Caenorhabditis elegans: one gene and its partners. The protein of the gene in region 3 interacts with the protein of the main gene of each other region in a pairwise test. Each region holds a gene or a part of one and is shown on either strand. Other genes may lie near its edges.

Region 1 (3,636 bases), on a different chromosome or scaffold from region 3:
CCAAGTGGAACAACGTCGTGAATAATCTCTCAGAGCTTCCAGCACTAAGTTAAAAAGAACCCATGCATATGAGCCTGATTGGAAACAATGGGTGTATAGAAAAATAATGGATTGAACAATTAGTTGCATTTCATATAATAAAGTGCAAATATCGAAAAATGCAATTGCAGCCATAATGATGTTGACAGATGAGTTTATCATCGGTTTTCTGGTGAGAATTATAAAATGGAATAGGTTTATTGAAAAGCTCACAGCTGCTACTCGAGATTCATTTTCGAATACTGTGTTGTAATAAGCTCTGAAATAAATCTTTTTAAATTTCACCCTTTTTTTGGGTTTTCCGGTTATTCCAAAAAAAAAAAAACGTTTGTCTCTACAACTTTATCTTGAACCAATCAAAGGCGGAATCGTATCTGTGAGTTTTTTTTTGAAAAAGACAGAAAATAGTCTCAATATACCAAACTGTACAGCGATCGAAACGTTAAAATTTTATGATAATTTTCTCTTTGAAATTTGGTAATTTCGGCACATTCCAAAACACAAATGAATATTAAAAACGAATAAAACAAACCCCAATCCATCAGCAATCCGACATAGAAACAGGGCCGTTGATGTTTGAATATTTGGATAAAAAACCTCAATTTGACTACAAAACGACATGTCTTGTTGAGCCATGGCCTTAGACTGAACATTTCATATATGACATGTTCATATATGACATTTCATATATGAACTCATTCAAAATGTTGTCGATGCCAGGTGGTTCAAACAAATTATATTAATTTGAAAATGTAAGACCACTTGATTGAATAAATTGAAATATGACAAGTAAATAGTCGCTTTTTTTTCGAACATCAGTCAGAATAACTGAGACAAGATTGAGTCATACATAGCTACGCTGAGTATTGCTAATTAGCAAAATACCAGTGCTAATTAGCTGTTGGTTTTTGGTTATGATTTTTTTGTTTTCACATATTTGAATCCTATTGCGTATTTTATTTGATGTTATTGTCATACATTTGATAACTGTGTGCCATTAAATTTTACAATAGTATATTTTTGTCACAACCATTTTCAGAATTTTTTCCAGAAATATACGGTAATCGGAGTACGCGCTTTGCCACGTAGAAATTTGATTTTAAAACTTTCAAAATGAAAAACAATTTTAATTAATATTAAAGAAAACATTGAGAGACGTCAATGTCTATACTTTTTCAAAAAAAAACACTTCCTTCTAGTAACCTTACAATAACATGTGCTCTAGTTTTCTCGCTGGCGCTACTCTACCTTTAAAAAATATACCCACAGACGAACAGTGCATACTTCAAAGCACAATAATCACGACTAAAATTGTGCAGGTTATTAATATTTGAATCACAATTCTTTTGCGCGTATTGAGGCCATTATTAACGCAAACTAGGCAGATTCCAAACGAATGCCAGACGATTTTCCGTTTACTCAAGTGTTTTAAAAGTTTCGATGCACATGCACCAGTTGAACGGAAGTTTTTTACCAACGCTTTGGAATGTTTGCTCGGCGGAAAGAGGGCGGAAAATGAAAAAGAGTTAGAAATCAGTATATAAAAGTGAGTCTGCAAGATAGTTTAACCATCCGATTTCCTCTGTTCGAATCATTACTAAAATGCGCTTTACTTCACTTGCCATTGCCTTCCTTGCATGTGCCCTTGTGGTATCTGGAAGTGTAATCCGTGAAAAGAGACAGTGTGGATGTGCTCAGCCACAGCAGAGCCAATGCTCGTGCCAACAAGTTCAACAGACTCAGTCATGCTCGTGCCAATCTGCTCCAGTTCAACAACAATCCCCATCCTGCTCATGCGCTCAGCCACAACAAACTCAACAAGTTCAGGTACAGTTCATTAACATATTCGCAAACCATTAAATCAAAAATTTTAGGTTCAATCTACTCAATGCGCCCCAGCTTGCCAACAGAGCTGCCAACAGCAATGCCAGGCTTCTCCATCAGTGTCCCAGTGCCAGCCACAATGTCAGCAACAGTGCCAGGCTCAATGCACTCCAATGTACAACCCACCAACCACTACTACCACCACCCAAGCTCCAGTTGTCCAATACCAACAGTGCCAACCAGTATGCCAACAGCAATGTCAATCTACCTGTGTTCAACAACAACAACCAGCAGCTCAATGTCAGCCACAATGCCAACAACAATGCAATGTTGCCTGTGATTCCCCATCCACCACCACCCAGGCCCCACAAGTGATTCAAATTCAACTTGAGATCCAACAAGCTCAAGCTCAATGCCAACCACAGTGCCAGCAACAATGCCAGTCCTCATGTGTCCAGCAACAACAGCCATCGACCCAATGTGAGCCAGCCTGCAACACTCAATGTTCTGATATCTGCCAACAAACTGCTCAGGCTACCCAACAAGTCTACAACCAGAACATGAACCAGAACACCAACACCCAAATGTACAACCCATACAATACCAACACCAACCAGAACGCTAACTGCGCTCCAGCTTGCCAACCAGCCTGCGACAACTCCTGCACATCCCAACAGGCCCAGCCAGTGTACCAACAAGCCCAGCCAACTTACCAAGTCCAGCAAACCACTGCCGCTCCAATGTACGATCCATACAACAACCAAGGATCTGCCAACTGCGCTCCAGCTTGCCAACCAGCTTGTGACAACTCCTGCACATCCCAGCAGACTCAACCAATGTACCAACCATACGACACCACCACTGAAGCTCCAGCTCAAGTCATCCAGATTGTTCTCCAGACTTCTGTTGCTCAATCATCCCAATGTGCTCCACAATGCGAACAGTCCTGCCAACAGCAATGTGTTCAGCAACAACAGCCAGCTGCTCAGTGCCAAACTGCCTGCCAATCATCATGCTCTAACTCCTGCCAAACTGCTCAACCAGCAACTACTGCCTGCCAACAGAGCCCACAACAGAGCTCCTGCTCCTGCCAAGCTAACTACTCTCCATGCGGAAATGGACAATGCTGCCGCAGAAAGTAAGAAAGACCGAATCGATCGATCGAAGATTTATGGGTATCAATAGTCCATTGTTGCTCAAAATCTTTTTTGTATATTTCGAACACCATTTTTTCTTTGACTATATGATAAATAAATCATTTTCAATTATTCTACAGTATACAATAATAGACAAAAAAATGTTGATAGACCTGTACCAATCTAATTCGAATGTTTTGTTCTTCAAATTAATGATATACATACTTTACACGTAATCGAATAAACAGAAATCAGAAAACGTGATGATTAATCTATTGTTCTCTAGTTTTGATCAGTTGGAGTGGGCGCAGAAACAGCTCGTAAGCGTGAAGAGCCTCTTTTCGGGTGGGAAAATGATCTTTGCACAATTGCCGACGGGGCAAACAAATATTACGAATAGATCAAAAAGTTACGCCGATCAGCTGGAGAGATATGGTGAACACTTTCACGATACTATTTTTAAAACGAGTTTAATTCGTTCATACAAGCTTATACGAGTTTACTGTTGAAAGGTTCTACAGTAATCAGAGAAATTTCGAGTTTAACAAATAATGAGACTGACAAATATCTTCTGAAACAGTTTCTAGCAGATACAACTAAACATTTTTTGTGTCATATTCATCGAACGCCCTATCAA
Region 2 (4,810 bases), on a different chromosome or scaffold from region 3:
AAAAAATAGTTGGGATTGTGATTTTTCTCTACCTATTTTCAACATTGCCAAATTAATACTTTGATAAATTCTCTAGATATATATATATATATATATAATATATATAGATACATTTGCATGTAGATCATTTTTCTCTGAGCTCCAAGGTTAAATTCCCAATTTGTGCAGGAAGATTTGCCCAAAATACCTGTCGATTCTGTTTTCAGCAAATTTGGAAAATCTGGAAGCATCCAATTGTTTGTTTGCAGCGCAGCCATTGGAATATTTTTATTTTTTAATTTTTTCCAGTCCACTTTTGTTTTGAAATTACAATTTTTGAAGTAATGTAAAAAGTAGAAAATAGCCTTGGGCAAACAAAACTTTGAAACAAAATTTCATTAACGTTTTTGCCCCCTTCCTCCGCCCATTTCCTCTTCTCATCCCATTCGAATTTTACCCCATTGGGAATTTCAATTCTTGTATCAGTTTTGTTCTTTTTTAGTTTTAAGAAAATTGGCATATATTTTTGAAAAAACGTCATTTTGATCTTGCAGAACAGCTCTGTTTTGTTTTGTGTCGGGTGGTACCCTAACACCATCATTCTTTCATTCAACCCATAAAAGCCAGCCGTCACAGAGGAACACATTTGAAAAAAAGGGTTCCGCGTCTTTTTAGCTTTTAACTACCATCTGCTCTCTTCCAAAAAAGGACATTGAGTGCTCATTTAATTTTTCTGCTCATTTGTTGATTGGGTTTTTCTACACTTTGACATTCTTTAAAATTATAATTAAAAATAAAATCTTTAAAAATAAAATAGAAAACAAGACGAAAAACATCCTCATAACTCCCTAAAACTAGTGTTTATCGGATTAGATACACATAGAGACGTTCGAGAAATTCAATTTTTTTATCTCATCGTTTACGTATTTTATGTATTTGCACATGTGCGATGAGCATTATTTATGTTACAACAAACCCGTTTTTCCTCATATTTCATCTTGCCATTCTCATTTATTTTCTTATTTATGATATTTGAAAATAACAGAAATTATTTTTACTCTTAATCAGATGAAATACTTTGCAAATATCATAAATGTTATAATTAAAACAATTGAAATTTTTGTTGCGAATATTTAAAACATACAAAAAAACGAAAAAATAAACATACTTAATGTTCCTAGTGAATATCAAATTTCTCTGTGCGTCCGCAAATGCATCACGTGGTTTTGTTCACAATTTCAATTAAAAAACTTCTTGAACTTTAAAAATATGTGTTCACACATTAATTAATTTTCACAAGATCTGTAACATGGGGCATAATTTTTGTGAATTTACCAATCAATCATTAATATAAGATAGTTTCACGTAAGTTCAACGCAAGTTTAAAAGTGATAAAAAAAATCAAATTTTGCATTCAACTTTGCAAATTTGTTCTCAGGATGAAACTTCTTGAAAATTTCACAAAAGTGTTTTTTCTTTTTCTTTTTAACGGTTGAAAAGTTTAACAAAAAAATACTCAATATAGCAAAATTCTAAAATTTTATCAACTTTACCCTGTTGTAGAAATTGAGATTAAACTAGCGAATTTTTCATAAACGACACAAAATTTCAAAATGAGGTTGTGATTAAATAATAATATTTTTTCCAGTCGCTCCGCGGACAAGTGGCCTAAATTTAAGATTCCTGCGGAACCTCAATTTTTAAAATTTTTTACTCAAATAAAAAGCAGAACCGTTACTCCTTCTTATGGTTTGCGTTTATATCTTCACAACTTTTTTTGCTCTCTATTGTCAATAACGTTGGTTTTACAAGATACAAATAACTTAAAGTTTCAGGGTAGTTACAGCTAAAAGAGACCGCAGCAAGGGATCCTGTCACTGAGAATGTTCATCTTTGCCGCAGTAAGTGTTCATTTTTAAGATAAACCACATGACCTTGTCTCCTTATGATCTGCCTGATCAAACAACCGGCTCTTCGTTGTCAATGACCTCGTGTTTATGTATGTGTTTTGTTTATCTCCAGCACGTTTTCCAAATCTAAACGTTTTTGATGGTTGGTTGAGAAAGAGAAACTCTACGCAATTTTGTTGTCCTTTCGTTTTGCTTCTTCACCGTCGCCAATGTAAAACGCGTGACTGCCGCGAAACAAACTCTAAAATACAGAAATCGTGAGTCAACTGTAATTTTTTCGACGATTTCCTTTCTGATTCAATTCCACATATCGATTTTTAGAATGACACCGATTTGCATGAATTATCCGTACCCCCGTCAGTCTGAACAGCAACTTTTCTTTTTAACTTTTTGATTTCTGTTGTTTAATCAAGTGCTTTTTGCGTTCATAAAATATAAGAATAAACAATAACTAAAATTAGAATTTCTTATTTTTACGTATTTTTCCTTCAACAGCATATCAATTTAATTTGAAAATAATTTGTCTTGTTCAATGTTAGGAATTTCGCAAACGTTTAGTTGCCATATGTACAAAGATATGTATAAAGAATGTGGAACATTTTCTTTCAAAAATTGAAAATAATTTATTCTAGTAACATTTTTGAACACATAAATTTCAAGTATAATCTTGAAATTTTTTCATGTCGTTAAAAAATCAAATGCAACGTAATTTGAAACACCTACATTGTGAGACTTTTGCAGAAAACAAAGTTAAAGGTCAATGAGACCCTCCGAATACGAGTGCCAAAAGTATTCAATTAAATTTCCAGTTTTTACGCGATGAAAAACACCAATCAACAATGAGCCAAAAGTGTGGTGTGCTGCTCTTTTCCAAGCGTAACATTTAAATTGAACTTCTGTTTGAAAAATGAGGAGAGCATATAGAGCCAAATGATACAAAACCACTCTCATGATATTAGAATTTCCGACTCCTACCCCGACCCGACCGACCCAAAAAATGGGGCGACCCACTCCACAGGCCTAGTCTTACATCCCTACGGACCAATTGAAAATTAGTCTTGCATGCAAGAATAATAGAGAAAGCTTCAAAGCTAATTTGTTCAAAAACAATTTCCTTTTTGGATCTTCTCCGCCTTCAAACTCCAGTTCAGAATGTTATGTGTCCAATTTTCTTTTGCACGTTCGCTCAAGAGTACACATGACAACTACATATTATCTTTTTTATCAGTTCGTCATTTGATTTGATCGCTATTCATGTGCCCTTTTCATATTTACTCTTCGCAACTCTTTTGTGAGCACCATTGTTGCAACCACAACTTGCATAATTACTACAGAATCGAAGTTTCAAAAAAAGATTGCATTCTATCTCGCGCTCCCATGCGCTTTTTTCGTTTTATTTGCGATTGAAAAATAGCTTTCCTGCTTTGCGGGCTATGCAGAGCAGTAGTTTTCAATGGTTTTGTCTGGGCACACAGAGAAGCGTACAGTGTGATTGAAAAAGTGGGGTAGCAGCCAGTATAGAGCAAGAGAAATGTACAGCATTCAATTTTTCATTCGTTTTCTATTTTGCTCTTATAAACTGTGACATTTCTAGTGACTGAAAACGAGAAATCGCAGTGTCTTGTTTAAAACTCCCTCAAAATCTTTCTCTCTGAAATAATAATTCAGAAGAATTATATATTTTTCTTTTTGACAATGACTTCAAATATAATCTCAGAAATCTTACAATTCACTGGAATGTCACAGTCATAATCTCGTATTATTTGTATCTGAAATAGACGTTATTGCGCCATGTCTAGGTGGCTTTGTTAGAGAAAATACGCGTTTTTCTTAGCTCATCTATTTTTTTTTCTTCTTGCAAAAAGCTGACTTCTTGTTGCATATTCATTGAACGTTAGCTTTTTTGGCAAAGGTTTATGTAGGATTATTTGTAAGACTTGAGTTTTAAGCTCTAAGAATTTGAAAAAAGGTATGAAAAGCTACCAAGTTTTTCATTTTTCTAGTTACGAAAATTGGCTTTCTCTTTTTTTCCTTCCAAACTAGTAGAAAAAGCACTGCCATTGAAATTAAAAAAAACAGTTTTCAACAATTTTTCACAAAGCGGAAAACTTGAAAAATAAATGCTTTTTTAAGTTAAGAAAATATGTCGTCACAAAAGTTCTTGCAGATTTTGCACTGTGCTTTCATAAAGTTATTGGGCTTTCTTGAACTGTTGTTAGTTGTCCTTGATGTACTTCAAACTTTCATAAATTCCTTTTCCAATTACAGCGTTCTCAAACTATTAAAAAAATATGATTCAATAACTGTCTGCACCATTTAGAGAGAGAGAGAAACTAAGCGTTCCTTTCTTTCCTGAAAAAAAAACAAAGTCTCATGGGTTTACTCAGATGACAAAGTAACACAAAAAAACAGAAAAAAAACTCCAAAGTTTCCGTGCCAAAAGTTGCGCCGTCGTGTCTATTTACTTGACACACTTGCCATCACACTTGAGCAAGTACAGCTGTTCCTCAGCACCGCGAGCACTTTTTCGAGAAAATTGAAATTACGTGTCAATTCATGTCTCCCACAGCAGTTCATCAATCATTTGCTGCATGTTGCGACCAATTTATCTTTTCGTTTTTTGTTCAAATTTGAAACAGAAATTTCGAATAAGGGTTCTTGAGTGTAATCAGTCAACGATTGTGATTTTTAATGCGATAAAAAATCCAGCATATTTTTTGAAACTTATCTTTGCCATTTTTCTTCAAAACAATTTTTAATTTGCTCACCTAACCAAATTAAAGGCGAAAGATGTTTTTTTTAATATAAAAATGTCGTACGTTTTGTTTCCCAAAATACATTAATTCAAATCTATTTTGGTCAAATCGTTGTAACTTTTGTTCATATCTGTCTTGTCCACGGCGCAAAAATGTTATCAAATT
Region 3 (3,858 bases):
TGGCTTCACAGAATAATTTACTCTCTGGCTTCACAGTATATTTTACTCATGGCTTCACAGAATAATTTACTCTCTGGCTTCACAGTATTTTACTCTCTGGCTTCACAGTATATTTTACTCTCTGGCTTCACAGAATAATTTACTCTCTGGCTTCACAGTATATTTTACTCTCTGGCTTCACAGAATAATTTACTCTCTGGCTTCACAGTATATTTTACTCTCTGGCTTCACAGAATAATTTACTCTCTGGCTTCATAGTATATTTTACTCTCTGGCTTCACAGTATATTTTACTCTCTGGCTTCACAGTACATTTTACTCTCTGGCTTCACAGAATAATTTACTCTCTGGCTTCACAGTATATTTTACTCTCTGGCTTCACAGTATATTTTACTCTCTGGCTTCACAGTATATTTTACTGTCATGTACATTTTCAGCCGTATCTTTAAGTGTGTATTATCAAATGAAAATGACAATTTATTGGCAAAATAGGTAGATTTTCAAAACTTTAAAAATTCATAAATCACTTCAAAGTAACTTTTTTCGAACAAATTTATTCCGAATATCTTCCTCAAGTTAAGATCCCAGACGTTTTGGAGTCATTTTCAGGGGCTTCGGAGACGGAATGTATGGGATACGAACTTCTGGGGCAGGCTCCGATGGCAAGGTGGCTGGAACTGGAGTTGGAGCTGGTGCAACGGCTGATTTGATAATACATGGAGGATTCGTGCACGGTTTCTTGTAGAAATCTTGTTTGTCTTCATAATTTCCAAAACATCAGAAGGAAGAAGCTGCAAAGAAGAAAATGAAAACATGTTTCTATATTTAAGTGAAGTGATAAAAGAAAATGGGTTTAAACTGACCACATCAAACTGCTTGTTGGCTTTTCCTTGGGGTGGTTTTGGAGGTGGAAGCATCACTGAATTTCCAGCTTTCTTCACTCCAACAGCAGTACTCTGTGCACCATCGGGAGGCAGTGGAGCAGGGCCGAGTGGATCAGTATTTGTGGATCTTTCCAATGTAAGACGTACCGTTTTTGTGTTGTTGACACTCGCATAGAGAAGCTGAAAGAGCGATAATAGTAGCCATTTGTGTTTCGGAAGATATCATACTTTTCTAGCAGAGTCACGATCAAGAACATAAATGTCATTAACTTTGACAAGAATATCTCCACCTTTGACATAGTGACACGCATTGGAAGCCGACTGAACCATTGAAATAGTTACAGTTTTTGGATCAACTGCCATCTGGAAACCATCTTTAAAAGTTTCAAGTGTCCCGATTACTGACTCTATGAATAATAATCCCTGTTGCAGCACCTCCACGATAAGTGAAAGTCAACTCAACCATCTGAGTATTTGGACGACGAGGTGGCAATGGTTTTTCAGTGACAAGGCAATGATCATCTCGCATGAACTCAATTGTCACTTTTCCAGGAAGTTTTGCACTGATTGCACGGATAAAGTCAGCAGTTGTCTTTATGTTCTGAACATTTGGATTAGTTGAAACGGAAGCGGAAACGGATCTTAAAATATTCCTTACGGTTTCTCCATTGACGTTCAAAATCTCATCACCAGCAAATAGAACACCCATCAATTGGCTACTCACGTCCACATATATGATCTCAAATGTGATTATTCAAGATCTCTTCGATTTTTGAATTGAAAATGAGTTTTTTAATAGCCCAAACTTCGTATTTATGAAAAATTAAGGAATTTTCGAATGTTAAACACATCAGGAATGCCGACAAAATTGTGCTCGTTTCAGCTCTTAGCGCGAGCCCTACGTTGAATACATTATTCAAAAAGAAATGTATTTCCATCTCAATAAATTATTTCAGAAACATTTCCCAACAAACAAAAACGAAATGAGCCCTCATTTACCTTCCCATTGACCACATCACATGCTACAACCACATTCTTCCGTTCGAATTGTACTTCTTCTTTTCCTTTTACATGAAAACTATTGTTGTTGGTTGTCATCTGTAAGAAGTTCATGTCAATGCAGTCCGCTTCTCTAGTAACTGGTAGAGTCACTATGCCCTCATTGTCAGACCCAACGCGCAATCTGAATGTTAACTTACTCCGAATGGATTGTTGCGGATACGAAAGAGCTATCGATAAGAAAATATTTAGAACTGAGTCAGTTTTTGTTTTCACTTTTTATTTTTCTGTAATTTTTTTCTGAATAAAACAAGTACAAACGATGTCACGTTGTTATATTAATTAAATTGATAAATTATTTATTATCAAAATATTATCAAATTTCGATGAGATCAATGGAATAGAACAATTCAATCATCGTTGTCTTCTGCTTTTGTCACTTTCTTTTGACCTCCTCTTACAAACTTTGAAAGTCTTGAACGAATTGTATTCAGATCTTTGCTGTATGTTGGGGCGCTGAAACCAATAAAAATTCGTTTATTTTCTCTTTATTTGAGCATTTCACCTATGAGCTGTACCTTCGGACTTTGTGCCACTATCAGATTCTTCAGTTTCAAATTGTAGGTGGGATATCAAGAAGACGTTGGAAACTTGATGGCATTGTTGGCATTTTGCTCTTTTATGCAGATCTTTTTGAAAATTGGAGATAAAAATCTGAAAATACGTTTTTCCATAACAAACACGACTTTTACACCGACACTGTTCTTCGTTGGTGCAGAAAAATTACAATATCGATTTGGAATTCTCATAAAAGAGCAGGTGGCAATCTACCACCTTTCTATATTGTCACATCACCTCCACACTCTCCGAGCAAGATGGGAAACTCCGCCCACAAACGCTGAAAGTTGATTACAACGACGTAGAATCTGTCTCATTCAGTCAGTCTTTTATTATCTCGATCTCTCCCTTTTGAATTATGTCTGTGAACATTGTTTTCTCCAATCCTTCCAAAACATACCTGCCTGGCGACTATGTCTCTGGAAAAGTGTTGCTCACAACAAAAGATCCAATTTCTGCACGATATATGGAAATCACGTGGAAAGGAGAATCAAAGTGTAATTTTGGAGGATCGGAGAGCTCAAATGTCCAACGCCATCTTGCCGGAACATTTATGGGATGGATTGCCAAAGATGGAGTTGTGAGTTTTTAATACTTAATAAATATATTTTCAAAATATTCCCATTCAGGACACAATCCCCGCTGGAACTCTCAAATCACGTTTCCGATTCCGACTTCCAGAAAATTCTCCGCCAAGTTTTTGCGGAATGTTTGGAGAAATTGAGTATTCTGTTACTGTGGAATTTGATCGTCCGTGGAGACTCAAGTTAAAAATGATGAATACATTCCGTGTGGTTCAGAAGACAAATCTGACACTTTCTGAGCCAAAAATGATGAAGTACGCGGAATTTGTCAAGTCGAAGAATTCTGGAACGATTTTCAAAGATGGATTGTTTTTGTTGAAGGTATTGTTCAATTTCAAAAGTAGAGTCAAAAAATTCACTCATTATATTTTAGCTTCACTTTTCCAAACGAGCATTCCTCGCAGGGGAGACAATCCGAGCACTTGCCATCATGGAGAATCATTCAACAAAACCAATCATTAATCTTCGTTTCGAGCTCATTCAACAATCCCATTACCACTCTCGCCCACAGAAATCATTGTGTTCTCTTAACGATTGTCACTCCGACTGCCCAATTGAATCCAAATATCGAAGAGATGGTGAAACAGTGCTCCGCGGAGCCAATTACAGTTGTGACGTCGCACCTGGTGAGGTGAAATATATCAATGTGGAGATTGATCTGCCAAATGGACTCCCGCCAACTTTCGAATCTCCAATGATCTCAATGGGATACCTGTTGGGATTTACCCTAAGAAATGGATCACTGACCGGGAATCGATTAGCATGTAATGCACG

What was found. Proteins that work in one complex are often made in the same cells at the same time.
Region 1: the proteins of mpz-6 (region 3) and abu-7 interact in a two-hybrid assay, tested with the Caenorhabditis elegans proteins (one large-scale study listed by BioGRID).
Region 2: the proteins of mpz-6 (region 3) and tsct-1 interact in a two-hybrid assay, tested with the Caenorhabditis elegans proteins (one large-scale study listed by BioGRID).

What each region holds. Positions count from the first base shown.
Region 1 is NC_003283.11:5,162,765-5,166,400, reverse strand, and holds abu-7 (Activated in Blocked Unfolded protein response), read left to right. Parts: upstream 1-1,618; 5' UTR 1,619-1,641; coding exon 1,642-1,866; intron 1,867-1,913; coding exon 1,914-3,005; 3' UTR 3,006-3,131; downstream 3,132-3,636. Other genes in the region: srw-140 (G-protein coupled receptors family 1 profile domain-containing protein), read right to left, coding at 1-298, 572-675.
Region 2 is NC_003284.9:12,432,292-12,437,101, forward strand, and holds the start of tsct-1 (Protein tsct-1), read left to right. Parts: upstream 1-1,805; 5' UTR 1,806-1,862; coding exon 1,863-1,880; intron 1,881-4,345; exon of another isoform or gene 4,346-4,412; intron 4,413-4,810.
Region 3 is NC_003280.10:9,404,996-9,408,853, forward strand, and holds mpz-6 (PDZ domain-containing protein), read right to left. Parts: upstream 2,126-3,858; 5' UTR 2,083-2,125; intron 1,982-2,082; coding exon 1,883-1,981; intron 1,623-1,882; coding exon 1,542-1,622; intron 1,485-1,541; coding exon 1,290-1,484; intron 1,247-1,289; coding exon 1,112-1,246; intron 1,064-1,111; coding exon 863-1,063; intron 791-862; coding exon 605-790; 3' UTR 539-604; downstream 1-538. Other genes in the region: arrd-2 (Arrestin C-terminal-like domain-containing protein), read left to right, coding at 2,859-3,080, 3,130-3,405, 3,458-3,858.